Lytechinus pictus: one gene and its partners. The protein of the gene in region 3 binds, or shares a complex with, the protein of the main gene of each other region. Links are inferred from orthologs where the notes say so. Each region holds a gene or a part of one and is shown on either strand. Other genes may lie near its edges.

Region 1 (10,549 bases), on a different chromosome or scaffold from region 3:
CCCCTATTCTTTGGCATCCAAAAAAATTTCCTTTTTAACTTGAGAAAAACACTGAAAAACACCGCATTTTGTTGGTTCACGATGTACGGCAAACCACGCTGTATACCGCAACTGCGCGCCCATCAATGAGCACATCCTGCATTCCATCAGCGACCAAATAGCTCTGCCATGTATGCATAGGATTGCCTATTCGCTCGGGTAGGCCGTAAGAAAATATTAAAAAATGTTTAAAATTTCCATTTTTTTTTTAGATTATGATCAAAGTGTTATTTAAGTTGGCCATGTTGACCTCTTGGGTTGCTAATCCAATGAATTCAAAAGTGATAATGTATAATATTTTACTTTTTGATGTAATTTAGACTCAATGGCATTGATACCGAATCCAGGAAAATTCTTAAAAAAAAAGAAGTCATGACCATTTTATGCCACATCCGTTACGCTCACAGGTGCATTTTCCCTACAACCGTTTATTGAAATTGTTAAAAAAAAAGTTATTGTGTTTACAAGTTACAACTGAATGTAAAATTTGTCTGATAAATCCAGCGAGAAGAGCGAAAACTTCTGAAGTGTAATGCTTTGAAATACAAAATGTCATGTCCGCTACTCTGCAATTTCCCATATAATTATAAACAGGACAAGTAATGATGTGTGTAAAGAAGTGGCAGGGAAATCTACTATTTTAACTTTGAACAAGAAAACTGAACAGTTTGTTCAAATATAATGTCTCAATATGCAATAGTGGGCTTTAGTACTTTTGATTAATGATGAATTTTAGTGCAAATTCCTCTTCTAACAAATATACACTATCATTAAGGTTATTTTTAAGTAATTGCAATTCATGTTATAACGATAATGGAAATCGATTTTTGGTTTCCAATAGCTTCCGATACAAGACAATGTTTTTTAAAGACAGATTACTTCATACCAGACTGCACAGTGTCCTTATCATGCTAGTACATTCTTCTGTTGCCGATATGAAACTGAACATGAATGGAGATAATGAATCGCACCGCAAGAGTTTAATAACTGCTTGAATTGCTACCATAAACATAGAAATCGCTAACAGTTGATTGTAAACCTATATTAACGCCGGTTAACACTTAACTGAATGGTACATAATAATGGTAATTACATCCGGTTAGCGTTGCTTAGCTTTTTCACGGAAGAAGAAGAAGAATAGGGAGGGTGAAAAGATGATGATGATGATGACGATGATGATGATGATGATGATGATAATGATGATAATGGTGGTGGTGATGATGATGATGATGATAATGGTGATAATGATGATGATGATGGTGACGATGAACATGATTATGATGATGGTGATGATAATGATGGTGATGATGATGGTGATGATGGTGATGGTGATGATGATGATGGTGATGATGATGGTGATGATGGTGATGATGGTGATGATGGTGATGACGATGATGATGGGTGTGTATCAGCATCAGGGATGTGTCAAAATAAAGCCCACCCCCCAAAAAAAAAAGTGCTTTACATGACATTATCAATAAGAGGCACGGGTCGTAAGTCGCGTTATGCTATCACTTTTTGTGAGGACCGTTTTTGGCTATGCGTTTCTCGACTTATCTTTTGCAGTCGCATGGAGTACTGATATAAGGCGTCTATTTATAAATTGGGTTTGGAGGCCGCAATCATCTAGTACTTCCAAAGCCCGGGGTTCCAAAGACACAAATGTCATTTCAGAGTAGGATAACCAACAAAAATGTGTGAGCAAATAGGTTTAAGCTTTATATATATATATATATATATATATATATATATATATATATATATTATATATAATGACTGTATACGAAACTGCAGTTACTGAAAAGTGCTCAACCACATGTGATGTACATATAGAAGCTTCATGTAGTATAGTAATAGGGTGGAGCGAGTTGCTTAGATTTTAGTTGTATAGACTGTTTCCCCCCGAGGGTTCACCAGCTGATGAACCCTCGGGGGGAAACAGTCTGTACAACTAAAATCTAAGCAACTCGCTCCACCCTATTACTATACTATATATATATATATATATATATATATATATGTAAAGTTATACATGTACAACATGTATATATATATATATATATATATATGTGTGTGTGTGTGTGTGTGTGTGTGTAGGGGTGTGTGTGTGTGTGTGTGTGAATGTAAGAACAATGGAAAACTCGGTTGTGCCCCACCCCCCACCCCTGAGGAGAGATTTCCGCCCTTGTGATCTATACAATTAAGTAGTGTTTTCTTTATTCCCTCATTTCCACGTTTATATTCTACAAATTAATGTGTTGTAATTATTCTGTAATTGATTTGTACTTGATTTGTATTTGTATTTGCTTATGCAGGCCTATATGTGATGTATATTTGATTTGTATTTGTCTATGATACCGTTGAACTAGATATGAGAATGGGGAGAATTTAGATAATCCCGACCTTTCGTTGGAGAACGCGAACGCTTATTTATGACGGTAGTTGATTTTGGAAGAGACTTTTAGGCCCGTCGTCATGGTCGTAAAACTCTGTCCTGCAATGCAAATTGTGTGACATGAGATTTTTTTACGTTTCGCATCTGCAACGGAAACATTCAATATGCGTTTCGTGTGCAAAATTATGGTTGCTTCTATGGTAACAGCGATATATCCGATTTAGGACGACTTTCCAGAGCCACATTTGGCTCCTCCCAGAGCTCGAGAGGCCGCCTGGGGGGCCCACTTCCATTGCCGAGTGGATACCAGGCGCAACCACGCGTAAAAGGGGACAGAGTGGGCAAGTACGTTACGTACTAGTATATAGGCCTTTGTAACGTTATAAGGGTGTCAATGTTTAAAAAAGTGATATATTTCCAATACTTGTAGGGTTTCACAAGCCAAATACTTAAGAGATGCATTTTCATAATCTGGAAAAACCTTGCTTCGATCCTTGTTTAGGTTGCTTTTCGAAACCGCATGGTCGTGCCTGGTATCCATTCATCAATGGAAGTGGTCCCCATTTGAATCTAATCCCCCATTTCTGGGGAAAGTAAAACATAATTACATTGCATTGTGTGCTAGAGGCATATTGTTTGTGTAGGGGAGTAAACAAAAGAAAAAACCCGCAATTTCGGCTGGTATTCAGAGGTATATATGCTATGTAGATATCAAATCATGCGAAATGGTTTCAGCTGGAGAGGTCATCTGACCCATGGAATCAATTGCCAGTGATCCACCAATAATCCACATTAAATACAATATCGATTCGATGGACTGTAATGATCTATATTATCTAAGCCTTAATTCAGTAAGTTTTTCCTCACTCAATATGTACTCGATTTGTTTGAAAAAACACTTTTTTATCCAAGTCATAATCTATTGTGGGCCCTGCCCCGGGCCCTGCATTTCGAATATCTCCAGCCAGCTGTCATAGCTAGTAGAGGTTCGCCGCCGGCTCAGGGGGCATATACGATGATGACCAGACGTACACATGCATGAAAACGGGTGTCGCGTGAAAGAGTTTGCACACGAAAAGCAGATCTATATAGGGCCTGTATCACAAAGCTTAGCAATGAATGTAGAACAGTTTTATATGATTGATTCCATTGATTATAATGTACAATTACTCGTGAAAATCGAATGTACGATTAGGGGACCCTAATCTTACCGTCCCTGAGGTTTGCGAAAGGTGGCTATTATGACAAAACGACGAGTTGCTGAGACACAGGGTTCGAGCAACCATCTGTGCTTGAGGTGGTTTAATTGAAGAAAAAAAATCAATCTCTCGATCGAGGCTCGACATTCCCGGGGTCGAACGGATCGAACCCTAGCCTCTTGTCGAGGCCCTGGCGGCTGCTTCCCGAGCGAATTAGGATATCCCTCGCTTCGCTCGGGAAGCAGCCGCCAGGGCCTCGACAAGAGGCTAATCGAACCCTCAACACGAATGCATTCAGTTAATGTATATATGGATTGATATATAGTATATATATGTGTGTATATATATATATATAATATATATAAATACATGTATTCAATTCCCCCCCCCCCCCCAAACTCACCCAAAATCACTTTCCATCCTACAAGGGCTCGTCTCCCAAAGTAGGTAGGATTTAAAGGCGTCTTGTCTCCGGGAAAGATCGAGACTTCACAGACGTTGATGTTCACATCAACGGGACAGACGTATCCCCATACTCCGGTACGGGTGTAGGATTGGATATGTGATTTTCCTCATTTCCTTTCTCTGTCATCTCCATCCTAGGTTCACTTGCATACTAGTAGGCCTATACATCTAACATATTTTGAGTAAAAGCCCTGGTTTTAATTTTTTGAGACACACCTACTCGACTTTATATCCTCGATACCCTAAAAATAAAAAAATAATTAAAAAAAATAAATAGAAAAGAAAAAGAAGAGAAAAAGAAAGAAAAAAAAAATATTTGAATTTTACTTTATATAATTTTTTTTTTCAAAGAAAACAACGTGAATAATGCAATATTTATGATGGCGAAAATAGTCAAATTCATGGTTGCCAAATAAAAAGAAAAAGAAGAACCCCCCCCCCCCCGAACCTTCGGCCACCCCGCGCCGACCAGCGCCATCCAGTAATCGATTAGTCTGCTGTGCAAACCCTTCACTAGAGTTAAGGGTCTGAATTGCAGCCTATTTATGCCTCGTTTACTGAAACAGCAAGTTTTGTATGTGCTAGTCTTTGCGTGGAGACATACTTGTTGATCAAAATTTCAATCAGGGTCTGTGCCTGCAGACTAGTAATCGATAGCCGGCGATCGACGTTCGCGTTCAGCGATTTTAAAGGAACAAAATGGCGGCGTACGAGCGGGAAATTCCATTTTTGGTACGTATTTTTAACGTTATTATGGTACGTTATCTATTTTTGTGGTAATCAGTAATTATTTGTTTGTTCGCTTTATATCTTAGGTCAACTGAAAATGTTTTATTTCGAGATTTTCAGTCAAAATCCGTGATGGAATTTGTTTGTTGGGTTTTATCTTCATAACCGTTACAAATAAATTAACATGTGGGACTGTCTGAGTAGGACCTGTCTCGAAGTCGAACTCTGGCTCTGAAACTGATCTGATATGCCAACCAGCGGGAGCGGCGCGGTGGAGCTTCCCTTCACTGCTTCAGCATGTTCAGACCTAGACAGCTGGCAGCCGTCTGTTTCGAGGAGTTTTTTAACATTTTTTATTTTTTTAATTTCTCCTCATACACAGACTGCTCGCTATCGTGCAGCCACCATTAGCAGATTAGGGCCGGGACTTACAATGCAAAATCCCCCCGTCGGGGCTCTTTATTTTTTGTCTTAAAAAGTTTAATGAATCAAACTTTTGAAAATTAACGCGACCGAAATGCAAATTAATATTCCCTCTTGGCATCGATTGCCAAAAAAACGAGGAAAATCAAGTTAAAAGGAACAAAAACAGTGACTTACCTCGGCTGTCGCGCAACTTCACTGCCCTGTTTTATCCAAACTTAATACACATAAACATATGCCACATATGGCCATTGAGTCCCCTGTAGGATGCACTCCTAGTACCAATGAGGTCCAACATTACATGTATGGACCTCATAGGCGACATCAGTAGTATTTTTGGTTAGAAATCTCTGAGAACAGGATATTTATACATTATATCACAAGTACAAGCTATATTCCTTTCTCTTATTTAAATTATAATTTTATAGTGTAAATGCATCGTTAGCAACAACAAAAAATGAAAGAAATGAAGGGGAACTTACATTTTCACGGCTTTTTCCTGATTTTCTGGGCAGCTGCTCTTCTCTTCTGACTCGCGATCGAAGCTGATATGAAGATCACGTGATTCGCGTTCTCGTCAGCTGATCGGTTGGTTATTCTTTTCGTCAGACGTTAATAATATATATTTTATAATGCTAGCATTCATCCCTAATTTAGGTGAAAGAGATTGAAGTTAAACAGCGCCAGGTCGGAATCATAATTATTTTGGAAGAGTGTATTTGTACACTCGATCTCATACCTGACGTAGACGGCGCTATTCAACAAATGCACAATCTTCAATATAAAAAATAAAACAGAAAGAACGCCTTGAACACAGGCCAAAATGCCTAACGATTTCTCCGCGGCATTAACAACTATCGTAAAGGGCGCTCCATTTATCAATAAAGATGGATGCTAAGCTGTCTATGGCGACAAAATTTGCCGCAAATATTTACGAAGAATTGTGAGAAATGGTCTGAAAATGCAACAAAAGAACCGGTGAGTACCGATTAAACATTATTAAAGTTGTAAATAGATTATACATACCTTGTAGATTTAGTTTTTAAGGTGATATTAGTGCTTAGTTCTAAGCTAGGGAGGCCCAAACGCGCGTGAGTGGAGTCCCAGTTTATTAGCACGGGTAAGTATTGGGGTGTCGCCTAGAGTGGTAGGATGGGGGGTCGGGTGTCCGGACACTTTATATTTTGAGGCCTTCTTTTTTGTCTTTGGATTGCACTAAAAATATGAATTCGATAGTTGTAATCATCTTCTATTAGGGTGTCTGGAGAAAAATATTATTTTTCTTATTTCAAGAAAATATCACATTTTCTTTGTGAATTTGAAGAGAAATGACCTTCAGACTGACAGAAATGTAACATTTTTGAAAAAAATCCGATTATTGGCTGCAAAAAAGAAGAATGAAATTAGGTCAATTTTCAGCATTTCTCTGCCATAGACTGTGTAGTTAAGAAATGGACACACACAAATCCAAATTTTTAGCTTCCGAGAGCTGTTATAAATTTATTATTAATGCCAAAAACTTGTCCATAAAGAGTCGAATAGGATTTTTTATGCTCTTTCTGATGGTATGATTTTTATAAAGATTTGGAAACCAGGGGCCCGTTTCTCAACACATGGACAAGTTAGTCATATCTTTATCCACCAACCACGGAGTTAGTACCAATCTTACTAAACCTGTTTCTCGAAAGGCTTCCTAACTAGAATACCTTGATATCGATAATATCGGTAAAAAGAGCAGACGAGACGTAGCCTTAGTCACAAAATAGCATAATTTTCAAATAGAAAATTATTACAAAATTGCAAATATTATGATGAATTGGGAAATAAATCTTTTCAAAATAATAGCACAGGTGAATTATGCATCATACATACTTAGACCATGAAGACTGGAGCATTCAATTGCAGAGAAAATTAGATTATGAATAATTCATTTCATGACTAAAAAATCACTTGTGGACGTTGAGATGGGTACCCCCGGGAGACCCAATTTTAATTGTTTACGAAAGTAAACCATAACGGTTTTCTTTGTAAAATGATGATAATTATACGGACTTTAACGATTCCAAACGTCATCAAAATATAGTTTAACGAATCATTTTTAATCATTGATACCGAAAGATACGATATTGGACAAATTATATGCATAAATTAGAGATAGAATTCATCCAACTGTTAAGAGGGGTCTGAAAACAACAAATACGAGTTCAGTTATGGATGGCCTGACGTGGTAAAATCTTTATCGATTAAATCATTTTGCTATTTCAAAATTAATGGTTTTGTGGCGTTTACCAACAGTTTTTATAGTTTCTTTGTTTTACAATTATCATTGAATGCATTAACCCACTTGTTTTGTGATGTAATTTCAACCTCTATGATTGATTATGTAAGATTATAATTTTAAAATTTCTAGGCACTTTCGCATGTCATAGTCTACCCACGTGATGCCACTACGTCATTAAGAAAGAAGTTAAGACAGGTTCGGAGGTGTCATAAATATTTAGTGAGGTTGTTGTACCCGATCTTGGTAAAGAGGGCTTCGTGAAACGGTTAGCGGACAAGTAGCTCACTATCTCCGATTTAGTCAAGAAGTTAGACTTATGACGGTGTTGAGAAACGGGCCCCAGATCACAATGAAAAATTGCGACAAAGTGAAAAAAATTGTGCAAAACAGAAATTTAATTTTCCCATAGAAAATGCATGGGGAAATGGCAATCTCAACACACACAAAAATAAGGGTTTGCAATTTATCTCTAAATCCTTATTTAAAATGATCATATAAACTTGTCCTTACTGTCAAAAGAAGCCCCTGAATTTTCTCTTTCCATACATGCCAAACACAAGTTAATAATCAATTCAGATCACATTTTTCTAGTAGCCTGAACTTCCCAAAAAAAATGTGCCATATTTTCCTCTAAATCAGCCTCTCTTATGCTGACACTTTTCAGTGTGGCTTCAGACACCCTACTTCTATTTTGTTCTCTATTATATTTCCTAACATTTTGTAATAAAAATTGATGAAACTTCACTTGTAATTTTTTCCAAATGACTTTCTAAATTGATCGTCCGGACACACAACCTGTCCGGACACACAACAACTGGGTATACAGATCGCGCTAGAACTTCGGTCTCTGTATTTGGTGAGTGAAGCCAACGGAGTTCAGCTGAATAACCAACATAACAGAGACCGAAGCTTTTGGTCTACTTCAGACCTAGCCAGGCGGCTTTCTAGAGAGTAAAAATCATTTACTAACGTAAGGTTACTCTCATACGAAGCCAGGCCTTCTATCTCATAGACCCACACAAAGGAAGTCAAAACCTGAAACTTTCACCCCCGAGATTTCTACTTTCCTTCTAAAAGATCTACGAGCGTCGCGTAACGTTGGGGAATTACAATAACTGAATAAGAAACAAGATACTAAATAGGTTCATTATTGCGGATTGAAATAATCGCTAGAGGGTATTCATTTGTCTCGCAATCTACTATGGTCAACAAGGAAATTCGTGATCACTCTCGCAAAAAGTGTTCACTGGCTTTCTAGGAAATTCGTGATCACTCTCGCAAAAAGTGTTCACTAGCTTACAAGTTCACGAGCTTTCGAGTGCCGCTGCAACTCTTTATCAAGTGACGAAAATTATCTGATGACGTATTCTATTTATACTAATCTCCGGGACCGTACGCACGAACACGAGAACAATAGGTGGGCATTGATCCGTTGCGTCGGATGCGGTACGGCCGGTAATCCGTGTATGCAAATAAGCCGGGGGTATATGCAAATACGCCGGGGGTATATGCAAATACGCCGTGGGTCGGCAATATGCAAATTAGACAAAATTGGCGGGCTCGCTAGTTTCCCGTGGGCGGGGGCTGACTAGCTGAGCGGTCCCTCGTTCGGGGCCGGGAACGATCGGGTCGGCGTGCACTGCCAGGTAAGGCATGCCACCCTCGGGTGTGGAAGAGATACGTCGATGACACTTTCATAATCGTAAATAGATCCGAAACAGACAGCCTACTCTCATACATGAATAGCCAGCAACCGTCCATCCAGTTCACTCTGGAGACTGAGCAAGGAGGGAAATTAGCATTCCTTGACACGCTAGTCCAAAGACACGAGGGCGGGAAACTTTCCACCTCTGTCTACCGCAAGCCCACTCATACAGACCAATACATACCATATGATTCTCATCACGACAAATCGGTCAAGAAGGGTCTCGTTAAATGCCTGTTCGACAGAGCAGCACGTATCATAACTCACCCACCTGAACTCCCGAAAGAAATAGCACACATACGTGGCGCCTTGTACAGCAACGGCTACCCACGCCGTTTTATCAAGAACACTTTCAAGAAAAAACAACCACCAAGGGATCAGAAGGTTTTCAAGACTTGCACAGTCTTGCCATACATAGATGGCCTCTCACAACAACTTAAACGCCGATTAGAAGGTCACGGTATCCGAACGGTTTTCCGCTCGGACACCACCTTACGCAAACAGCTTGTACACCCCAAAGACCCTGTCCCTGACCACAGACGTGATGGCGTAGTATACAACATTCCTTGCCAGGGATGTGACGGGTCTTACATCGGAGAAACAGCCCGACCGATAGTTGAACGCATTTCTGAACACAAGCGCGATGTTCGGTTACAGCGAACCGACACATCTGCGGTGGCAGAACATGCTTGGGAGAAGCAACACCACCCAGATTGGGAGGGTGTACAATGCATTGCCAAAGAGAGACATTGGTATACACGCAGGATTAAGGAGGCTATTAGTATACGTCTTTGTCCTAACAACTTCAACAGAGACAGCGGGATCGACATCCCCGACTTCTGGATGCGAACCATCCGACAGCACAATACCCCCTTACCTGGCAGTGCACGCCGACCCGATCGTTCCCGGCCCCGAACGAGGGACCGCTCAGCTAGTCAGCCCCCGCCCACGGGAAACTAGCGAGCCCGCCAATTTTGTCTAATTTGCATATTGCCGACCCACGGCGTATTTGCATATACCCCCGGCTTATTTGCATACACGGATTACCGGCCGTACCGCATCCGACGCAACGGATCAATGCCCACCTATTGTTCTCGCGTTCGTGCGTACGGTCCCGGAGATTAGTATAAATAGAATACGTCCTCAGATAATTTTCGTCACTTGATAAAGAGTTGCAGCGGCACTCGAAAGCTCGTGAACTTGTAAGCTAGTGAACACTTTTTGCGAGAGTGATCACGAATTTCCTAGAAAGCCAGTGAACACTTTTTGCGAGAGTGATCACGAATTTCCTTGTTGACCATAGTAGATTGCGA
Region 2 (10,549 bases), on a different chromosome or scaffold from region 3:
TACAATCAGTAGAGGCGCACGGCCAATATGGGAGACTCTCTCCAATAGGGGAGACAATCTCCCAAATTGGAGACTTGCTTTGCAAAAGGACAAAAGAAACAACACCAACAAAAGCATGATTTTTTCCACCCAAAATTTTGTCTTCTTCTTCTTCTTCAAGCTACACTGCCTCCTTCAATCCTGAAGATTGTTGCAGTATTGTAGTACCGGGGACCGGCAGGTGCAATACACCGGGTGAACACCCTACTCTTTGACGAATAGTGTATTGGTAGGGAGGACAACGAGCATCCTGGAACCCGCGACACTGCCTGCGAGGAAGCCGCAGCTCGGAAATGGTCCCGATGTCAAAGTATCTTTGCCAATGTTGATGCAAAATGAAAACACGATAAATACAATAAAAAATCTTTTAAAAATATAAATCTTAACATCTTCAAGATAAAAACAACACTCATACTCACAAATACTATACTTGTCCCTACTATTATCGTTCGTTATCTAAAAACTGGCCGATGCCGAAGATTTCAGTGGATTTTGTACCCAATTCCTCCCGAGTTTTCTCTCTAAACGCACGGCGAGACCAATGCGGAAGTGACCGTGTTTTTCCACATTTTGATCATTAAATTGCTTGGGATTGGCAACTGGTAAGTCTATGAAAAATGTGGGCTAACTTCAGCGAAAGAACTTTTGATAGAGATTCTGATGTCAAAAGTACATAGGCCCCGCCCCCTCAATCCAGAAATAATGATGAAAAAACTAAAAAAAAATATGATCCCGTGCATTTTTTGAGCTGCACATTATATGGTCGTTAGAAAATCGTATTCTAGTGTTATTCCTGTTGGTTTCATGCCAATACCTATCAGGGTTTTGGATTCCCAAGCAAAAAACTAAAAATGACGTCATCCAGTGCTGTTGAATATTCACGTTTCCGACGATCTTTTCGATCACGTGGTTACGATTCCTCATGAATATTGATGAATCGGTAGCGTGGCGCGACGCTTGACTTTTACGTCTAGTCTAAAAAACAGTCCTTTTTTTGAAAATATTAAGAGAAATACAGTCGCTGCCATGTAAAGTGAGGAAAATCAATCGAATGAAAAAAAATAAAAGACTGGATATTAGTCTAAATTATTTATGAATGGAATTTTCCACAACTTGAATGGAAAGACCGCATGCGAGAGATCAAATGGCACATGTTCGACCCCAAGCCTGTCAAGAGACACAGGGAATTCCCCTGATTGACGCAGAAATTCAAAGCTTGATCGATGGGCTTCAACATTCTATTTGAAGAAATAAAATTCAGAGAGGATGAGAGAGCGTGAGAGAGATAGGGGGGGGGGGAATATCTGGGATTAAATTGCTGATAATACAATGAAACTGTTATTTAAACTAAAAAGTTATTTTTATAATTTAGCTCTAAAAAAAAATAGATATAATTGTTATTTGTTTAGACCTGTTTTTATTACTTTTTCTACTTGCCTTTATCAAAGATTTTCCACTGTTGCTTTTACTCTGCTTGACTCATTTTTTTTATTTTATTTTCTATTTTTTTTTTTTTTTTTGGGGGGGGGGGGGTGTAAATAGTTACCTAGAGGTATGCAAATTTTGGCGTATCCTCTGTTATGAATTTGCACCAGCTCCACCACTCCACCTGGGCAGCTTCCTCGTTGGAGTAAAATAATAAATATATGTCTTCGTGGAGACAAAAACTGCTGCAGTTGATATGATAAACAAAACAATATGCCTTTAATGTCATAAAGACATTGATATCTTTGCAATACGCCACAGCAGGCATTGTTGCACGTGTTGCACTGCACCGTATCGTATTTGATTTGATGAATGAAATGAAAATAAGAACGGGTTTCATGACATGAACCAAAGGGCACAGAGTAACTTGAACTTGTAAATGGGGAAATTCCACTCAAACATAAAAGATTATTCTAAGCATAAAACTGAAATAATTGATATGTTTGATACAGTGCTATATTGTTATGGATGTTTATGATTTAGAGGTAAAATTAATGTTTATGATATAGAGGTAAATTATGTTTGTTTCTACTGATACTTTTACCGATGTGTTCAAGTCACCCCCATTAATAAATTAACTTTCTAACTTTAATCGACAATGAAAACAAGTTTCATGAAAACAAGTTTCAGCTTGTCCTGCCTTTTTCACCATGGATCTTCACAGATACGCTCCTCTAAACCTCGTATTAAAAAAAAAATGCATTTATGGGACAATATTTACCACTTCTGAATTTTTTCTAAGTCTGGTAACAACATTTGCTCGTTGTAATAATATTCCATACCTAAAAGAAATATTTATGGACGTACATATTTTCGTGTTCTTCGGTAATTTCGAAAAAATAATCATAGAAATAGATTGGTACAGACAATGGCCGGGGTGCATCACAGGCACATGTGAGGTGTTTTTAGTTTAGGTGAGTACTATTATTACGTTTAAATATATATATATATTTTTTTTTTTTTTTTTTTTTAATAAGGCCTATGTTTTTAATTACAGGAAATCACACACAATATTTACATAATTAGACATGATCGTAAACAAACAAACAAAAATAAAACAACATTTAAAAACGTAAATTATAATATATCTTAAAATTGGCAACGGCATGTCATGACTGTGCATTTATGCCTGGGAAGCTAGCTAGCTGCGGCCGGTCTAGTACCGTATACGCAGTGCATCAGTACCGGGTGCGCTGGGCATGGCAAGACCGTGACTACGTTCGGAGTTCTGACGGAGAAGAAAAGATGGAAATAACTTCCACCAAAAACATGATCTAGAAGTCGAATATGTCAAATGATCATCATTTATAGGTATGAAATATGAATCAACGTTTATTTTTAAAGAAAATCGTAAATTTCTATTTATGGGGAGAGTTTTACTTTTTAGAATGCATTTTTCGTAAATAACGTCTCGTGCACAAGCTACCACAGACTACGAGCCGGGCTGCAGCGGCAAATTTAAAATTGAATATTAATTTAAGGAGGTCGTTCGAAACTAGCTATTCATCGACCATTTTACGTGACAACTAGCTTCGGGGAAGTTAGGGGGCTGAATCGGTTATCTCTGTCCCTTTCTGGTCTCACAAAGGCCATAGTTTGACACTTAATATCTTCACTTTTTGGAAACCTTTGGAACTGGGAGTTGGTATGTTTGCTTTGATTTTGTTTTCTCTTTCATGTCATTGTAAATAAAAATGTGAAGACGTTCAAATAAAAATTTTAGGATTTCAATTTGTCCACCCTAGTATTGGTTTTAACGTGCATAGGTTGTGACTCTCCTATACACGGGACCAACATTTGCGTCCTTTCCGATGGACGGAGTGTTTTCCAACTGCATTCACACCCGCACTGAACACAGCGGTGAGGCACGTTAACACACAACGCTAGCATCAGTTTTTTTGTTAGACGTCTTCCGGCATGCTGCGGGACTCGAACCCACGCACGTTGAGATCTACGATCTTTTCCGGAACAGGCGCTCTAACCGACTAAGCTACACTACACTGAGGTCAGAAGCCCATTTGTTTTGTGTGTGATTTACAACAAAAATCCTTATCAAAACAAGAGTAGACGGTGAAAAGGGGTAATTTTTCATGAGGAATCTGCTTATCACATTTTAATTTGTCGCCAAGGTAATCCTTTTGCAGCAAATGTAAACAAAGGAAATTGGTCTCCAAAACTGGAGACTGTCTCTGAAATTGGATACCCAAATTCTTTACAAAAGTCTCTGATATCAGTAGAGGCGCACGGCCAATATGGGAGACTCTCTCCAATAGGGGAGACAATCTCCCACATTGGAGACTTGCTTTGCAAAAGGACAAAAGAAACAACACCAACAAAAGTATGATTTTTTCCATCCAAAATTTTGTCTCACTGAGGTCAGAAGCCCATTTGTTTTGTGTGTGATTGACAACAAAATTCCTTATCAAAATAAAAGTAGACGGTGAATTTTTAAAGCAGACGGTGAAAAGGGGTAATTTTTCATGAGGAATCTGCTTATCACATTTTTATTTGCCGCCAAGGTAATCCTTTTGCAGCAAATGTAAACAAAGGAAATTGGACTCCAAAACTGGAGACTGTCTCTGAAATTGGATACCCAAATTCTTTACAAAAGTCTCTGATATTGGAGATAATCTCCCACATTGGAGACAGTCTCCAATATTGGCCATGCGCCTCTACTGGATATTGGAGATAATCTCCCACATTGGAGACAGTCTCCAATATTGGCCGTGCGCCTCTACTGACGATTAGTTAAGAAGTACCGATGGTGATATTTTGACGCGAGATATGGTGATTTAGGTAAGAAAATTTCACTTTTTATTTGAGATTTTGCCCAAGTAGCAGGATGATTTTGTAGTGTGAGAGTTAGTGAATGTGTAGTGTAAATGTCTAGAGTGTGTTGGTGATTTCAGTGGTGTATTGCTGAGCCTGCCGAACGGCCGCACACCGACGCAGTCCGTAACAGTTGGGAAAAACATTAGATGGCGGCGTAAACATCGGGCGAGTCTCGTCCATCTTTTCATAATATTTTGCTCATTTTTTTGATGAATTCTTGTTTAAAAATGAAATCGATAGCGTAGAAATGTTGGAAATTAAGTTGTATCCCATAGTTTTTTTTGACAATTTGGTCTTTTTTTGGAAAAAAATTTCTCAATCATTCTCGAACAGATTCACTGGTCCTTACATCATCATGTACGGTAGGTCAAATAAAAAAAGGACAAAAGTAAGCTTATCTATCAACACCCCTCATTTTCTTTAACTTAATTTGAAAATCAACCTGTCCATTCATTCACATACATTACACACACGCAGCGGCACACATCGCATGGACACATTGGTTTCTACATGTACGTGCATGTACGTCATGCACGTCGGATCGACATGTATTTTCAATACGGTTAGCAATGGCAGTTTGGCACGACTGCGCGTGTGTGATCATTCATACTCACCTTCGGTTTTGGACGTTCGTATGGTTTACGCGAGTAGTGAGATCGTTTCGGGCGAAATTTACCACCAGACGGGGTTGCCATGGCTAGTTGAATATGAACTGACCGCCACAGCAACCTTCACAAGGGTTAGAATAAGTTGATAATCTTCGAAATTAAGAAATAGCTCGTAGTGTTTCCATTGAATTTCACAGTAGATGAGTCAAGATGGCGGCCTTTTTCAAAGAAGTTGATTGGTTAAATGTCACGTGATTTTCTGCACTTTTCCCCTTTTATATTACATGTCTTTTGTCACTCGGTAAACGTCGATTTTTAGGAGTCAAATCGAATCGAAATTAAGCTGGATGCATCGATTAGTTTAAAATTATTATTGAATTACTTTTAAATAATTTTTTAATTTTTCAAAAAGTTAATTTAAAACTCATTTATAAACAAATTATTTTAGAGGGTACTTTTTTATTTCGCCATTTTGAAATGTTAGCGCGCGCGCGTGCAGTGCAGTGCTCGTGCATGTTACGTAGGTCTACGTATAGGCGAGACGTTGGTGAATGAATGAACGTATCGGATCTGCAGCGTACTACTACGGTACCCCATCGCTGCCCGGCGCACTGGCTGTATACCGCCGCTGAAGCTGACCGACCTCCTGGCCTGTAGCTGCCGCTGCAAGACAGATTAACGTTCAAGCTCTTGTTGAATCTAGATTAGCTCTTCCTCTTCCTGACGAGAGATCCAGTTCTTGAGTGAGTTGAACTGAGGAGTCTCTAGAATAGTATTAGGCCAGCAGCTACCAGTCGGACTCGGAGCCGCTAGCTGAGCTGAGTGTTTTTCTGACTTCTGTGAGTGTGAGTGTGACTGGAGTGTCAGTGACAGTGTCATGTCAGTCACTGAGGCTGAGCAGTAGAGGCGCACGGCCAATATGGGAAACTGTCTCCTATGACTGGCATGAGAAGAGATTATCTCAAATATCAGAGACTTTTGTAAAGAATTTGGGTATCCAATTTCAGAGACAATCTCCAGTTTGGGAGACCAATTTCCTTTGTGTACATTTGCCTCAAAAACTAAACTTAAACTTTAAGTTAAACTTAAACTAAAAGTCTAAAGTAAAGTTTACCTTGGCGGCAAATAAAAATGTGTTAGTGTTACTGATAAATATTAAGCAGATTCCTCATGAAAAATTACCCCCTTTTCACTGTCTACTTTAAAAAATCACTGTCTACTTTTGTTTTGATAAGGATTTTTGTTGTCATCCACACACAAAACAAATGGGCTTCTGACCTCAGTGAGACAAAATTTTGGGTGGAAAAAATTACACTTTTGTTGGTGTTGACTGTTGTCAGTGTTGATTCTTTTGTTTTGCAAAGCAAGACTCTGGCTATGCTATTTTTTCTGCGTATCCACTGGATCTCGCAGTTCTCCAGGACTGGAGGAAATCAACAGAAGAAGAAGAAAAGAAGCTATGGGCATGATGGGAGATTATCTAGAGTCGTAGATAGTCTCCCATATATCATAACCTTGTTCATTGAATGAGTGCCCATATTGGCTGTGTGCCTCTACTGCTGAGGTTCATACTCATAGTCATAGTACATACTCGTCATACATTATTTACATAACATAACGTTAGACATACACATAGGCTGAGGCTGTGGCAAGATTTTTTTAATGATCACCGGCTGCAATTGCAAGAATGACAGAAGTGCAAAAACACTTGGTATTGAAAACTCAAAGTAGAACCAAAAAAATTAATGATTTAGGGTCTATTTTTTATAGCCTAGGCTTAGCCTTAGCTTAAAGGGGAATCCAGCCTTGGCTATAAAATGTTGTGTTGAGAAGGAGAAAAATAAATTAAACAGAATGGTGAAAGTTTGAAAGAAATCGGACAAGCGATAAGAAAGTTATAGCTGCTTTAAAATTGAGATCACTAATACTATGTAGATTTCAAATTGGCAACTGAGTAAGTAAATTATGACAAGGGGCAAGGACAACTTTCCCATTGGCCAGGTACTTTATTATCAGGGATTTGTGGTTTTCTCCTAAGTCCCTATTCCCCTGGGGCAGTAATCTAAATATAACCCAAGTAGTATATCGTTTTATGTCCTCATGAAAGAAAAATATAATTTGAAATAAAACTTTTGGGGAAAATGACATTTTAGCCATAATATGTATTGGAGTACATGGAAGAGTAGTCCTTGCCTTACATCACTATGACTTCCCATATGCGGCCAATTTGAAGTCTCCATGGGTATAGTGATTACCAATATTTATGACTTTTAAAAATTCATAACTTTCTTGTTGTTTGTCCAATATTGTTCAAACTTTCACCTTTCAACTTGTCTGATTTTTCTTTTCCTTATAAATACAAGTTTTTATTTGGGTTGGATTCCCCTTTAAGTTCTTTTGAATGTATGTCACCGACAGTCACTGTTGACTTGTTGTGTTATTTAACAATTATTTTCCTGTTTATTACTTGAATCAAACATTCATCTATTGTATCATTCATTTTCATCTTGTAGTTGTACTTTGTATTTACTGTAGGATGGGGGTCGGGTGTCCGGACACTTATATTTTTGAAGCCTTCTTTTTTGTCTTGGGATTACACTAAAAACATGAATTCAATTGTTGTAATCATCTTCTATTTTGTTCTCTACAATATTTCCGTACATTTTGTAAAAAAAATTGATGAAACTTCGCTTGTACATTTTTCCAAATGACTTTCTAAAATTGATCGTCCGGACACACAACCTGTCCGGACACACAACCACTCACTGGCTCACTGCTACCATCCTGCCTGTGGGGAATCTACAGGTAGGACTATGGTAGGACTGACCGCGATTTATCGCTAATCTCCGAAGAGCGGAGGATCAAAACAGAGAGAGAGAGAGAGGGTATGCCAATGCTGTATAGAGCACACACTTTAAAAAATCATTAAAATATCACTTTTGTGACCAAAATTATATTAATTTATATACAGTTGCAATTCAATTTTCATTAGTAACTTAGAATAATTTTTGTGTTGACCAGGGGCCCGTTTCTCAACACATGGACAAGTTAGTCATATCTTTATCCACCAACCACGGAGTTAGTTCCAATCTTACTAAACCTGTTTCTCGAAAGGCTTCCTAACTAGAATACCTTGATATCGATACTATCGGTAAAAAGAGCAGATGAGACGTAGCCTTAGTCACAAAATAGCATAATTTTCAAAAAGAAAAATTGTGACAAAAATTGCAAATATTATGATGAATTGGGAAATAAATCTTTTGAAAATAATAGCACAGGTGAATTATGCATCATACATACTTAGACCATGAAGACTGGATCATTCAATTGCTGAGAAAATCAAATTATGAATAATTCATTTCATGACTTAAAAATCACTTGTGGACGTTGAGATGGGTACCCCCGGGAGACCCAATTTTAATAGTTTACGAAAGTAAACCATAACGGTTTTCTCTGTAAAATGATGATAATTATACAGACTTTTACGATTCCAAACGTCATCAAAATATAGTTTAACGAAACATTTTTAATCATTGATACCGGAAGATACGATATTGGACAAATTATATGCATAAATTAGAGATAGAATTCATCCAACTGTTATAGGGGTCTGAAAACAACAAATACGAGTTCAGTTATGGATGGCCTGACCTTTATCGATTAAATCATTTTACTATTTCAAAATGAATGGTTTTGTGGCGTTTACCAACAGTTTTTATAGTTTCTTTACATATTACAATTATCATTGAATGCATTAACCCACTTGTTTTGTGATGTAATTTCAACCTCTATGATTGATTACGTAAGATTATAATTTTAAAATTTCTAGGCACTTTCGCATGTCATAGTCTACCCACGTGATGCCACTACATCATTAAGAAAGAAGTTAAGACAGGTTCGGAGGTGTCATAAATATTTAGTGAGGTTGTTGTACCCGATCTTGGTAAAGAGGGCTTCGTGAAACGGTTAGCGGACAAGTAGCTCACTATCTCCGATTTAGTCAAGAAGTTAGACTTATGACGGTATTGAGAAACGTGCCCCAGAGTGTTAAAATACTTGAATTTTTGGCATATTTTTGTGTACGCCCTCTATTGGTGGAAAGTAATATGGCAAGAAAATTTTCATTTTTCAAGCTCTATTTTTTAATAAAGAAAAAAATAATTAAAAAAATCAAATTTACTTAAGATCCAAATTATAAAATGAAAAGCTGTAATGGAAACTGACAGTGTAAAAAAATCAAGCATTTGTCCAAAATAAAAAGGGAAAATAAGCCAAATATTGTCAACCTTATTTTGCCACACATGGAGATGTAACTGAGAACAAGGTTACCGGTATATCATAACCTTGTTCAATGAACGAGTGCAACAACTGGGTATACAGTAGACTCTGGACTGTGAGAATTAATTAAATCCTCTTGATTGGTCAGTCAAATCAAGCAGCATTTGGATGAATATAATTCTAGCCAGAATTTAGATAACTTGGTCTGGGTTAGAGTCTTAGACCAAAAGCTTCAGTCTCTGTTATGTTGGTTGTTCCGCTGAACTCCGTTGGCTCCAACTCACCAAATAAAGAGACCGAAGTTCTAGCTCGATCTGTACTACATAGTACAGGGACTCAATGGCCATATGTTTATATATTAAGTTCGGATAAAACGGAAGTAAAGTAGCGTAACAGCCAAAGTAAGTCACTGTTTTTTCCCCTTTTAAGTTTATTCCCCGTATTAGTGCATTTCAGGCCAAAACGGAATAATAATCTTTATTTTGGTACAATTCTTTTTCTATATTTTTATGAAATAAAGACAAAAATCGATGAGCCCCGTCGGGGAGATTTCTCGCATTGTTAACCCCCTAATGGTGGCTGCACTTTAGCGAGCCATCTGTGTACGAGGAGAAATTAACAAAAGATAAAAATGTTTAAAAAACTTCTCGAAACAGACGGCTGCCAGCTGTCTAGGTCTGGGTCAACATGGTCAAACTTAAAGGACAAGTCCACCCCAACCATTAGTTGATTTGAATAAAAAGAGACAAATCCAACAAGCATAACACTGAAAATTTCATCAAAATCGGATGTAAAATGAGAAAGTTATGACTGTTTAAAGTTTTGCTTAATTTCACAAAACAGTTATATGTACATCCTGGCCGGTATGCAAATGAGGAGACTGATGATGTCATCCACTCACTATTTCTTATGTATTTTATCATATGAAATATGAAATATTCTAATTTTCTCCTCATTGTCAAGTGAAACAAAGATTAATTCCTCCCTGAACATGTGGAATTAGCATTGTTTTAATACTATATTGTTCAGTCAAGTTGGTCCTTATTTTCAAATCTGTAAAAAATGAAATATTGTATAATTCAAACAATAAAAAACAAAAGAAATAGTGAGTGATGGACATCATCGACTGTGTCATTTGCATGTCACTGAGATGTGCATATAACTGTTTTGTGAAAAATAAGCGAAACTTTAAAATGTCATAGATTTCTTATATTACATCCGATTTTGATGAAATTTTTAGCGTTTTGCTCGTTGGATTTTTGTCTATTTATTCAAATCATCATTTTTCTAGGGTGGACTTGACCTTT
Region 3 (10,549 bases):
GTCTAATCGTAATTCGTTTTCAACCAGATCGTCTTCTAATCATTTTACATTAATTGCTATTTACAATTTAATTTCGTTGCCAGTTTAGCGGTAATACATGAAGGCCTATGTAGGCCTGCCTTATAATTATGTTGCCACATATCCGCTTGGTCGTACACCACCTCAATAACTCAATTCAATTCAAGGTTTACTAAAAACATGAGTCGCAGCCAAATTGCTGAATTGGTCATGTATACAAAGTACAAACAATTAAAAGACTCATTACATAATTATAAAAAAGAAGTAACCTTTGTAAAAACTGACATAAGAAATATGGATGTAATTAATAAGGCAAGAATACTTAGGCAATGAAAATGAATATACATAAGATAATGAGGAAGTGGTAAATCAAGAATAATAAAAACAAAATAAGCAAGTTGTAAAAGGTCTTTAAAATATATGAATATTAAATAAGTGTTGATTTCCTCATTTATCAAAATAATTGATATTGCAAGTATTCATACACACTTAAAATCTTGGGCAATATACTGTCCACTGTGTTGGGTAATGTATGTTGGTATATTCTGAGCAATTATTATCAAATTTAACAAATTTATTATCCAATTTGGGCAGATTTTAACCAATCATTTGTGGACAGTATGTTGCCCAGGGTTGATTAAAAGTTAAGCATTTTTTGCCTAACTATTTTAAGAGTGTATATGATATTGTTTTTAAATGAGTAATGGGTATACTGATTGGGCATGTCTTTATTCAGGAGTTGGGGCTACATGTATTTCGAAATCTATTAGGTATGAAAGAAAAATTCCTTTAATTGCAAAATAATAGAAGAAGTAAAAATAAGACCACGTGAAATTCTGAACTTTGTATATCACCCGAATTGATCAATTTTAAATGTTTTTCATTTGTGTGAATCGTTTAATTTTTAGCATGGCGTAGCCTAGATCAAAAGCTTCGGTCTCTGTTATGTTGGTTGTTCAGCTGAACTCCTTTGGCTTCACTCACCAAATACAGAGACCGAAGTTCTAGCGCGATCTGTACAGGGGACTCAATGACCATATGTTTATGTGTATTAAGTTCGGATAAAACAGGGCAGTGAAGTTGCGCGACAGCCGAGGTAAGTCACTGTTTTTGTTCCTTTTAACTTGATTTTCCCCGTTTTGGGGCAATTAATGCCAAGAGGGAATATTAATTTGCATTTCGGTCGCGTTAATTTTCAAAAGTTTGATTCATTAAAGACAAAAAATTGAAGAGCCCCGACGGGGGGATTTTGCATTGTAAGTCCCCTAACGGTGGCTGCACGATAGCGAGCCGTCTTGTGTATGAGGAGAATTAAAATAAAAAATAATAATAAAAACAATGAAAATTAGACAGGATATGATTCCCCCCCCCCCCCATTATTCATTTAATTATGCCTATTGGAACGCCAGTACCCAATCTGAAGTTAAAAGTTAAAAAACGACGAAGCGCCACTGAACTAGAAATATTTCTAGTTCAGTGCGAATAGTCCGGGTTATAACTGAGCAAGGTGCCACTTGGAGAAGGAGAAATTTTCATATAGTGCCTCTAGACCAGTTTTTTACGCTGAATATGAATATATGAGGTAAACAGGCTGTATCCTGAAAATTAACCTGTGAGGGCGCTTTTTTCAAAATGGCCGCCATATTTTCTGAGAATTTGAATTTTCGTACATAGATTTTGACATAAGCATTCAATTGCCATAAAATTAGTGTCATATGAAAGCCAAATAAATTCCCTACAATTTGGTACTATTTATAGGGGATAAGTTGGTCATTTGGTTGAGATTTTAAGTAGAAAACTGCATTTTTTGTATTTTTTTCCCAAAAATTAAAAATTTTACAAATACATGATTTTACATAATTCTATGAAAAATTTATTAATTACCTTGAAATGTTCCTGAAAACTTTATTGATATACTATTATCATGTGGATGAAATTACAACTCTGTATCATTCTTTTTAGCAAATTTATAAGGTATCAAACTTGAATACTTCAATTTCAGAAATGTCGCTTTTTGTATGCATTTCCATAGATTAATACGTATAACATGTATAATACATGTATGTATAATACATGTATGTATAATGTATAGTTAAAACTTAAATGCTATTATCTCCACTAGTTAATCACTTGCAGAGTCAGGAGTAGGCTTTTCTCTATCAGCTACATAAAACATTTTCAGGGGGTGGGGGTGTCGAAGTCCTCCCCCCCCCCCCCCCCCCCCGTTGCTATATCATGTTGTTGTATATTGCCTATTTGTTAGAAAACTAACTGTTTTTTGGAGCACCCATTGAGGCAAAAGGCAATTCTTTATAGGTAGCTGATAGAGCAATTAAAGCATATTCTGTCCTCCTTAATTGGTTTCAAGGCAGTAAAAGTGGCAGAACTATATATCAGAGTTGCCTTTTTACCTCAATGGGGGCTCAAAAATTGTGAATTTTCCAATAAATAGGCAATAATGCAAAGGGGGAGGGGGTGATTTCGACAGACCCCAGAAGGGGGTAGGCTTTTATTTGCCAGCACATCTTTATAGCTGATAAAGCAAAGCCCATTCTTTCCTCTCTTAGCGGTTTCAAGGCAATAAAAGTGGCAAAACTATATATCAGAGACGCCTTTTTGCTTCAATGGGGGCTCCAAAATGGTGAATTTTCAACAAGTAGCCAAATACCAAAAATTAGTGGGGTAACTTTTACAGCCGCCTGAATGAGATAGGCTTCAATTTGCCAACACTTCTTTATATGGAGCTAATAGAGCAAAGCCTACTCTTTGCTCTCCAAGTCATTGCAAGAAAATATAATTTGCTGTACTATAATAGTAGAAACGCCCTTTTGCTTTAATGAGTGATCCAAAATTGTGAATGTCCAATAGATAGTCAAATACCGAAAATTGGTGAGGTAAATTCTACAGCCCCCGAACATTCTGAAGGGGATAGCTAGGCTTTGATTTGCCAACACTTCTTTACAGCTGATAGAGCAAAGCCTACTCTTTCTTCTCTGAGTCATTGCAAGAAAATAAAATTGGCTGTACTATATAGTAGAAACGCGCTTTTGCCTCAATGGGTGATCCAAAATGGTGAAATATCCAATATAATAGGCAATATACATGATATAGAGGAGGGGGGGGGGTTGACTTAGACAGCCCCTGAGAGGGCTAGGGTTCGACGTGCCAGCGCTTATTAATATGTAGCTGGTAAACTCTACTCTACCCTACTCTTTCCTCTCTAAGTGGTCTCAAATCAATAAAATAGGGTGTACAACAAAGCACAAACGCTTTTTGGCCTCAATGTTGTGAATTTTCAAATAAATTGGCAATATTAAGCAAAAGCTCCCCCTCCCCGAGAGGGGTAGGCTTCGATGTGCCACTTCTTTAGATTTAGCTGGTAGAAAAAAGTCTATTCTTTTCCTCGCCAAGTGGTTTCAAAGCAATTAAAGTGGATGTACTGTATAACAGAAATGCCTTTTGCCTCAATGGGTGCTCCAAAAAACCTTATTTTACTAACAAATAGGCAATATACAACAACATGATATAGCAACGGGGGGGGGGGGGGGAGGACTTCGACACCCCACCCCCTGAAAATGTTAGGCTTCGATGTGCCAAAATTTTGTTTTATGTAGCTGATAGAGAATTAAAGCCTTCTCTTAACTCTGCAAGTGATTAACTAGTGGAGATAATTGCATTTAAGTTTTAACTATACATCATACATACATGTATCATACATGTTATACGTATTAATCTATGGAAATGCAAACAAAAAGCGACATTTCTGAAATTGAAGTATTCAAGTTTGATACCTTATAAATTTGCTAAAAAGAATGATACAGAGTTGTAATTTCATCCACATGATAATAGTATATCAATAAAGTTTTCAGGAACATTTCAAGGTAATTAATAAATTTTTCATAGAATTATGTAAAATCATGTATTTGTAAAATTTTCAATTTTTGGGAAAAAAATACAAAAAATGCAGTTTTCTACTTAAAATCTCAGCCAAATGACCTACTTATCCCCTATAAATAGTACCAAATTGTAGGGAATTTATTTGGCTTTCATATGACACTAATTTTATGGCAATTGAATGCTTATGTCAAAATCTATGTACGAAAATTCGAATTCTCAGAAAATATGGCGGCCATTTTGAAAAAAGCGCCCTCACAGGTTAATTTTCAGGATACAGCCTGTTTACCTCATATATTCATATTCAGCGTAAAAAACTGGTCTAGAGGCACTATATGAAAATTTCTCCTTCTCCAAGTGGCACCTTGCTCAGTTATAACCCGGACTAGAAGCGCAAAAGAAAAATGTATTAACCCTAACATGACGTTAGATGGCGCTCTAACCGTCTGCTAGAAATCGGTCAAAATGGCAGAACGCATGGCGGTTAATTTGGGTAAGATTCAAACTCCTACTTTTGTGAAAATTGTATTTTCCTTGGTTCCATAACCCTTGAAATAAACTGATTCATTATGTTCAATGTTGATAGTATGCGTGCTAAGGTGAATCCAGATGATTATTTGCAGTAGATCTATAAGATTTATATCCATTTCCAGGGGGTTATTTGACTGAGTTCAGCGAGTTCGTTTCTTTTCACCGCCGACGCTCTGGCGATGTTGAGTGTCCAGTCTCGGTGGGTGCGATCTCAGGCGCGCGGCTTGCGGCTCCTGAAATGAATCGGGTAAAAATGCCAATTCGTCTACTGCTAACTAACAAATTCAATTTTTACTGGATTTAGACGCTAATTGTGAAATGGGAAATACCATAGCCATGGCATAGGCTAAAGTAAGGGTAATATTTTTGATGTTTGCACTTTGTTTTAAAAAAACAAAAATTAATTTAAAACAAAAAGTCAATAAAAAAAAAATGAAAAATCTGATTTAACGTTAGAATTTTAAAAAATCCGATTTAGACTAGTCTAAGTCTAGAGTAAAGTGCCCAAATACTGGGGCCCGTTTCTCAACACCTGGACAAGTTACTTGTCATATCTTTGACTCTATCCACCATTCACCAACCACGGTGATAGTTCCAATCTTACTAAACCTGTTTCTCGAAAGGCTTCCTAACTAGCAGTAGAGGCGCACGGCCAATATCATATGGGAGACTCTCCCCAATAGGGGAGACAATCTCCCACATTGGAGACTTGCTTTGCAAAAGGACAAAAGAAACAACACCAACAAAAGCATGATTTTTTCCACCCAAAATTTTGTCTCACCGAGGTCAGAAGCCCATTCGTTTTGTGTGTGATTGACAACAAAAATCCTTTATCAAAACAAAAGTAGACGGTGAATATTTAAAGTAGACTTTGAAAAGGGGTAATTTTTCATGAGGAATCTGCTTATCACATTTTTATTTGCCGCCAAAGTAATCCTTTTGCAGCAAATGTAAACAAAGGAAATTGGACTCCAAAACTGGAGACTGTCTCTGAAATTGGATACCCAAATTCTTTACAAAAGTCTCTGATATTGGAGATAATCTCCCACATTGGAGACAGTCTCCAATATTGGCCGTGCGCCTCTACTGACTAGAATACCTTGATATCGATACTATCGCCTTCGGTAAAAAGAGCAGACGAGACGTAGCCTTAGTCACAAACTAGCATAATTTTCAAAAAGAAAAATTATGACAAAATTGCAAATATTGTGATGAATTAGGAAATGCATCTTTTCAAAATAATAGCACATGTAAATTATGCATCATACATACTTAGACCATGAAGATTAGAGCATTCAATTGCTGAGAAAATTAAATTATGAATAAATCATTTCATGACTAGAAAATCACATGTGGACGTTGAGATGGGTACCCACGGGACATCGAATTTTAATAGTTTGCGAAAGTAAACCATAACGGTTTTCTTTGTAAAATGATGACAATTTATACGCCCTTCTACGATTCCAAACATCATCAAAATATAGTTTAACAAAAAACAAAAATAAATCTTTGAAACTGAAACATACGATTTGACAAATTCTATGCATAAATTAGAGATAGAATTTATCCAAATGTTAATAGGGGTTTGAAAACGACAAATACGAGTCCAGTTATGGATGGCCTGACGTAGAATCTTTATCGATTAAGTCATTTTACTATTTCAAACTGAATGGTTTTGTGGCGTTTTACCAACAGTTTTTATAGTTTCTTTCTATTAGAATTATCATTGAATGCATTATCCCACTTGTTTTGTGATGTAATTTCAACCTCTATGATTGATTACGTAAGATTGTTATTTTCAAATATCTAGGCACTTTTGCTTGTCATAGTCTATCCATGTGATGCCACTACGTCATTAAGAAAGAAGTTATGACAGGTTCGGAGGTGTCATAAATATTTAGTAAGGTTGTTGTACCCGATCTTGGTAAAGAGGGCTTCGTGAAACGGTTAGCGGACAAGTAGCTGAGCACTATCTCCGAGTTAGACTTATGACGGTGTTGAGAAACGGGCCCCTGGACACTTAAGCATAATTGGACCCGAACAAAAATACAATCATTGTCATTGAATCGTATAATTATAAAATTAAAAATCATGTTTATTTCCGTAGAAGTACAAACATGACAAATGTTGAATATTAGTGTCATAAAATTAATAGAAAAAAAAATTAGCAGGGTGCGACATAGACCAAAAGCTTCGGTCTCTGTTAGCGTTATGTTGGCTGTTCCGCTGAACTCTGTTTGCTCCACTCACCAAATACAGAGACAAGTTTTAGCTCGATCTGTACAGGAACTCAATGGCCATATGTTTATGTATTTTACTATTAAGTTAGGCTAAAACAGGGAAGTGAAGTTGCGCGACAGCCGAAGTAAGTCAATGTCTTTTCCCCGTTTTGGTGCATTTTAGGCCAAAACGGAATAATCTTTATTTTTGGTACAGTTCTTTTTATATATACATGTATTTATGAAATAAAGACAAAAATCGATGAGCCCCGTCGGGGGGATTTTGCATTGTTAACCCCCTAATGGTGGCTGCACGATAGCGAGCCGTCTGTGTACGAGGAGAAATAAAAAAGTTTAAAATGTAAAAAAAAATCCTCGAAAAAGACGGCTGCCAGCTGTCTAGGTGCTACATAGCTTTTTATTCTAGAAGCACTTGCCCAGTCGGGCAAGTAGATTTTTAAATAGTTGTAATATACTTGCCCAAAAATCTATTTCACTTGCCCGAAAAATCATTAAAAAATGTTTTACCTCTCCAAAAGAAGGTTTTGCAGTTGTTAAACCATTGACCCTTTTCTCTCTTGACATGAAGTTGAACTGATGGTCTACTTTGTTATTGCATTTCTTTTTCCAAAATGATTTTATCTTGCCTGCCATGACCAAAATTAGGGTCAATATTTCAAATCAACCCTAATTTTGGTCATTCTACTGTGAGAATTTTGTTTGCCCAATTCGGGCAAGTAGTTTTGATCTTTACTTCAAAACACTTGCCCGACTCTAACTGTAACTTGCCCTGGGCAATCGGGCAAGTGCTTATGTAGCACCCTGAAATAGAATAGAAAAATAATGGTAAATGGAAATTATTTACTTAGAGGAAAGTGCCCAAATATTGGACACTTTTAAAAAGCATAATTGGACCAAAACAAAAATACAATCATTGAATCATATAGACCCGTTATAAAAGTCCATTTTTGATGCACGTGTACACGGCATGTTTTTCGGTCGTGTACACATAAACACAAACAGCCAGCTATGTTAGGTTTGATAACTTGCATCTCAGAATTTCCACCAATAATTCATGATCTGATGATTACAAATACAATTTTTTTCAACTTGATTTTTCTTTCATATAAGCAAATATAAGGTGTAAAAAAAATGACTGTAGATTGCTTTGATATCGTAAATGCCAATATCGATCACTTGAAAGTTTGTGCAGGAGATCGGAGATGACACAGAGATGTTGTTTTTCTCTCCCCCCCCCCCTTTCTCCGTCTCTCCCTTGATTTAGCGCGTATCAGGTAAATTAAGCGTAATTTATACAGGAAATCTGCATAAAACATGGACTCAAACGTGGGTTTTCAAAACCATCTTTGTGAATTTGGGCTGCAGTGTTTTGATTGTCTGGCTGAGTAAATGTCTCATCAACCAATCTCTAGATATTGGAGCAAGACATGGCCTCAGCACCGCCAACATAGACAAGAGTTATTTAACTTTCAATTTTTTGCTTGGGTTGACTTGATGTTTAATGCTTGTTTGATTTTTCTCTTTTCATTAAACTTTTGCTTGGATTTCCCTTTAATTAAGGAAGGATTGAAGTGGGGTAGTCATATCAGAGTTCCATTTTTTCATTGAATCTCTATTTGTTTTACAGGCTCCAGGATATGGGGTCCATACAAGGAGCTCTACCATACGGTCTCCCTCATCGTCTCCAAGAGATGCCCGGATCCTTACCAGGAGCTTGATGCTATCATCAGAAAACACAAACCAGACTTTGTCGCCCTTCTTAAGAATCCAGTAAGTCATTAGTACATTAACTTCAAGTCCACCCAAACACAATGTGGGTTTAAATAAAAAGAGGAAAAAGATATGAGCATTAAACAGTGAAAACTTTTTGAAATTAGATGTAAAATAAGAAAGTTATGCCATTTTACATTTTCGCTTTATTTTTTACAAAACGGTTATGCATATATGCACAACACAGTTTTGTGAAATTAAGCAAAAATTTAAAATGGCTTAACTTTCTTATACTACATCCAATATTAATGTAACTCACTGTTTTCTACTTTGACTCCTCTTTTCATTCAAATCAACTTTATGCTGGAGAACCAACCCTTTTGTGACTTAAGTCACCTAAATGTGATTGAGCGCACGCTTGCTGCTGTTACCAATATTATTTTTCGTAATATTACAATGAAAATCATTCCCTCCGAAAAATAACAATACCCCTATTTAAAGTTTAGTATCGTCTGAAGAGTATGTTCACTGATCATTTGAATGAATTTGAATACAATCTTGTACTCACTCTGCTCTTGTAGTGTATGTGAAATTTCAGTATCCGAACTCTTGTATCGCTAGTCGACCTTCGACAAGTCTAATTATCACCTATATCACTGAAGCAACTAATCACCTAACTCATGGAAGCAATATCTTGTCAACTGTGTTCAGTCAAACAGATTTCTGTTGTTGTAATGATTTCTTTGTGAGTCTGCCCATGATCTACGATTACATCTTTAAAAACTCTGCAAACTATGAAATTATTTTTCAAAAGTTATATCATTCTCCCCAATCGGTTCTGTGACATTTGTCGGTGACAATTGTAGGGACAGTGATTTTCCGCGATCGCGGAAAACGGACGGAATTCACGGAATCGGCCTTTTGAAACGGAAAGTGGCTTTTCAAACGGAAAATCACAGAAAACATGATTTTTCCCAAAATGCACAAAATAGCAACAGAAATTAATCCCAAATCCTCACCAAAATACGAATATCAACTGAAAAAAACACAATCTCACTTTGCAACAACAATCATGACAATCAACACATCGTAACTACACTCGAGCCCCTCCATCACTCGATTGTATCTAAATTAGTTTACACTCACGTCCGCATATAAGGCAGAATACGGCCGTGTGTTGCTGCCCTCTGCGTTCGGTCATAATATAATGATCACGGTGATTCAACAAATCCAAAATGGCGGATAGGCAGAAGTCGTCGACTGCTCAAAACGATGTCCGAAAAGTCCCCAAATCAGCGATAAAATCCCATTTAACCATAAAATAATGCGAATAATATGAAAGGTGAGAATGTATTCATGTTGATTATGTTTCTCTAAAGAGTTTTTGAGCTCGAATCTCTTCGATAAAAATGGATTTTAAAGCGATGTTAGTACATTGGTAGATGCAAATTTTGACCAGCGCTAGCATTTTGACATCGCTACTCATTGCGTATTGGTTTTCTATGTAAACGGAATTGTCACTTTTTCATGTACACAAAGTCTATGGGGAAACGGAATTTCCGTTTTCAGACGTGCTGAAACGGAATTTGAGATTTTCTGAAACGGAAAATCACTGTCCCTACAATTGCTCCGATGGAAAATCTGCATGTGAAGCCAAACATAAAACTTAACCTCCAAAACTAAATAATCCTTAATCCCATTCCCAATCTTTACATTATTCTGAAACTAAAATCTCTATTACAATCCTATTAAACCCTATGCCCTTCTGAGATATTAAGACTAGCAAATCACCTGTATCGATTTTGTTCATCGCTAGTATTCTTATTACAATTGTCTCATCTGATTTGATCCTCTAGGCAAAGAATTCGCAACACAGAGAACAGATCAAGAAAGCTGATGTTGATGGCGTCGTTATTTCAGGCCAGGCTAGGAGTCGCGTGCTACCAAGGCAACTCATTGAAGAGGCTCTTATCATCAGCGACCTATTTGATCTGAACGAGTATGCAGCTGTGGAGCTACTTCTGGCAGGTAATTGGGAACCCTTCCAATACTCTGTGCCATGTCTACTGTATGTAGACAAGATTTATTATTTTAGTGTTTTCCATATTACGAACTGGATATTTTACAAACAATACGCAACTGGAAAAAACAACATT

What was found. Proteins that work in one complex are often made in the same cells at the same time.
Region 1: nuclear pore complex protein Nup205-like (region 3) and nuclear pore complex protein Nup85-like share a complex: the UniProt entries of both Drosophila melanogaster proteins name them as parts of the nuclear pore complex. The link is inferred for Lytechinus pictus from reciprocal best matches to the Drosophila melanogaster genes Nup205 and Nup75.
Region 2: nuclear pore complex protein Nup205-like (region 3) and nuclear pore complex protein Nup153-like share a complex: the UniProt entries of both Drosophila melanogaster proteins name them as parts of the nuclear pore complex. The link is inferred for Lytechinus pictus from reciprocal best matches to the Drosophila melanogaster genes Nup205 and Nup153.

What each region holds. Positions count from the first base shown.
Region 1 is NC_087254.1:31,796,340-31,806,888, reverse strand, and holds the start of nuclear pore complex protein Nup85-like, read left to right. Parts: upstream 1-4,738; 5' UTR 4,739-4,797; coding exon 4,798-4,830; intron 4,831-10,549. UniProt on the Drosophila melanogaster protein: Component of the nuclear pore complex (NPC) that seems to be required for NPC assembly and maintenance. Required for nuclear import of phosphorylated Mad via importin msk.
Region 2 is NC_087261.1:28,250,332-28,260,880, forward strand, and holds the start of nuclear pore complex protein Nup153-like, read right to left. Parts: upstream 5,816-10,549; 5' UTR 5,608-5,815; exon of another isoform or gene 5,431-5,607; intron 5,183-5,430; 5' UTR 5,052-5,182; coding exon 4,971-5,051; intron 1-4,970. UniProt on the Drosophila melanogaster protein: Component of the nuclear pore complex (NPC), a complex required for the trafficking across the nuclear envelope. Functions as a scaffolding element in the nuclear phase of the NPC.
Region 3 is NC_087263.1:7,644,855-7,655,403, forward strand, and holds the start of nuclear pore complex protein Nup205-like, read left to right. Parts: upstream 1-4,319; 5' UTR 4,320-4,377; coding exon 4,378-4,405; intron 4,406-8,310; coding exon 8,311-8,453; intron 8,454-10,249; coding exon 10,250-10,421; intron 10,422-10,549. UniProt on the Drosophila melanogaster protein: Plays a role in the nuclear pore complex (NPC) assembly and maintenance, but with limited role in NPC permeability. Required for specific nuclear import pathways such as Mad import.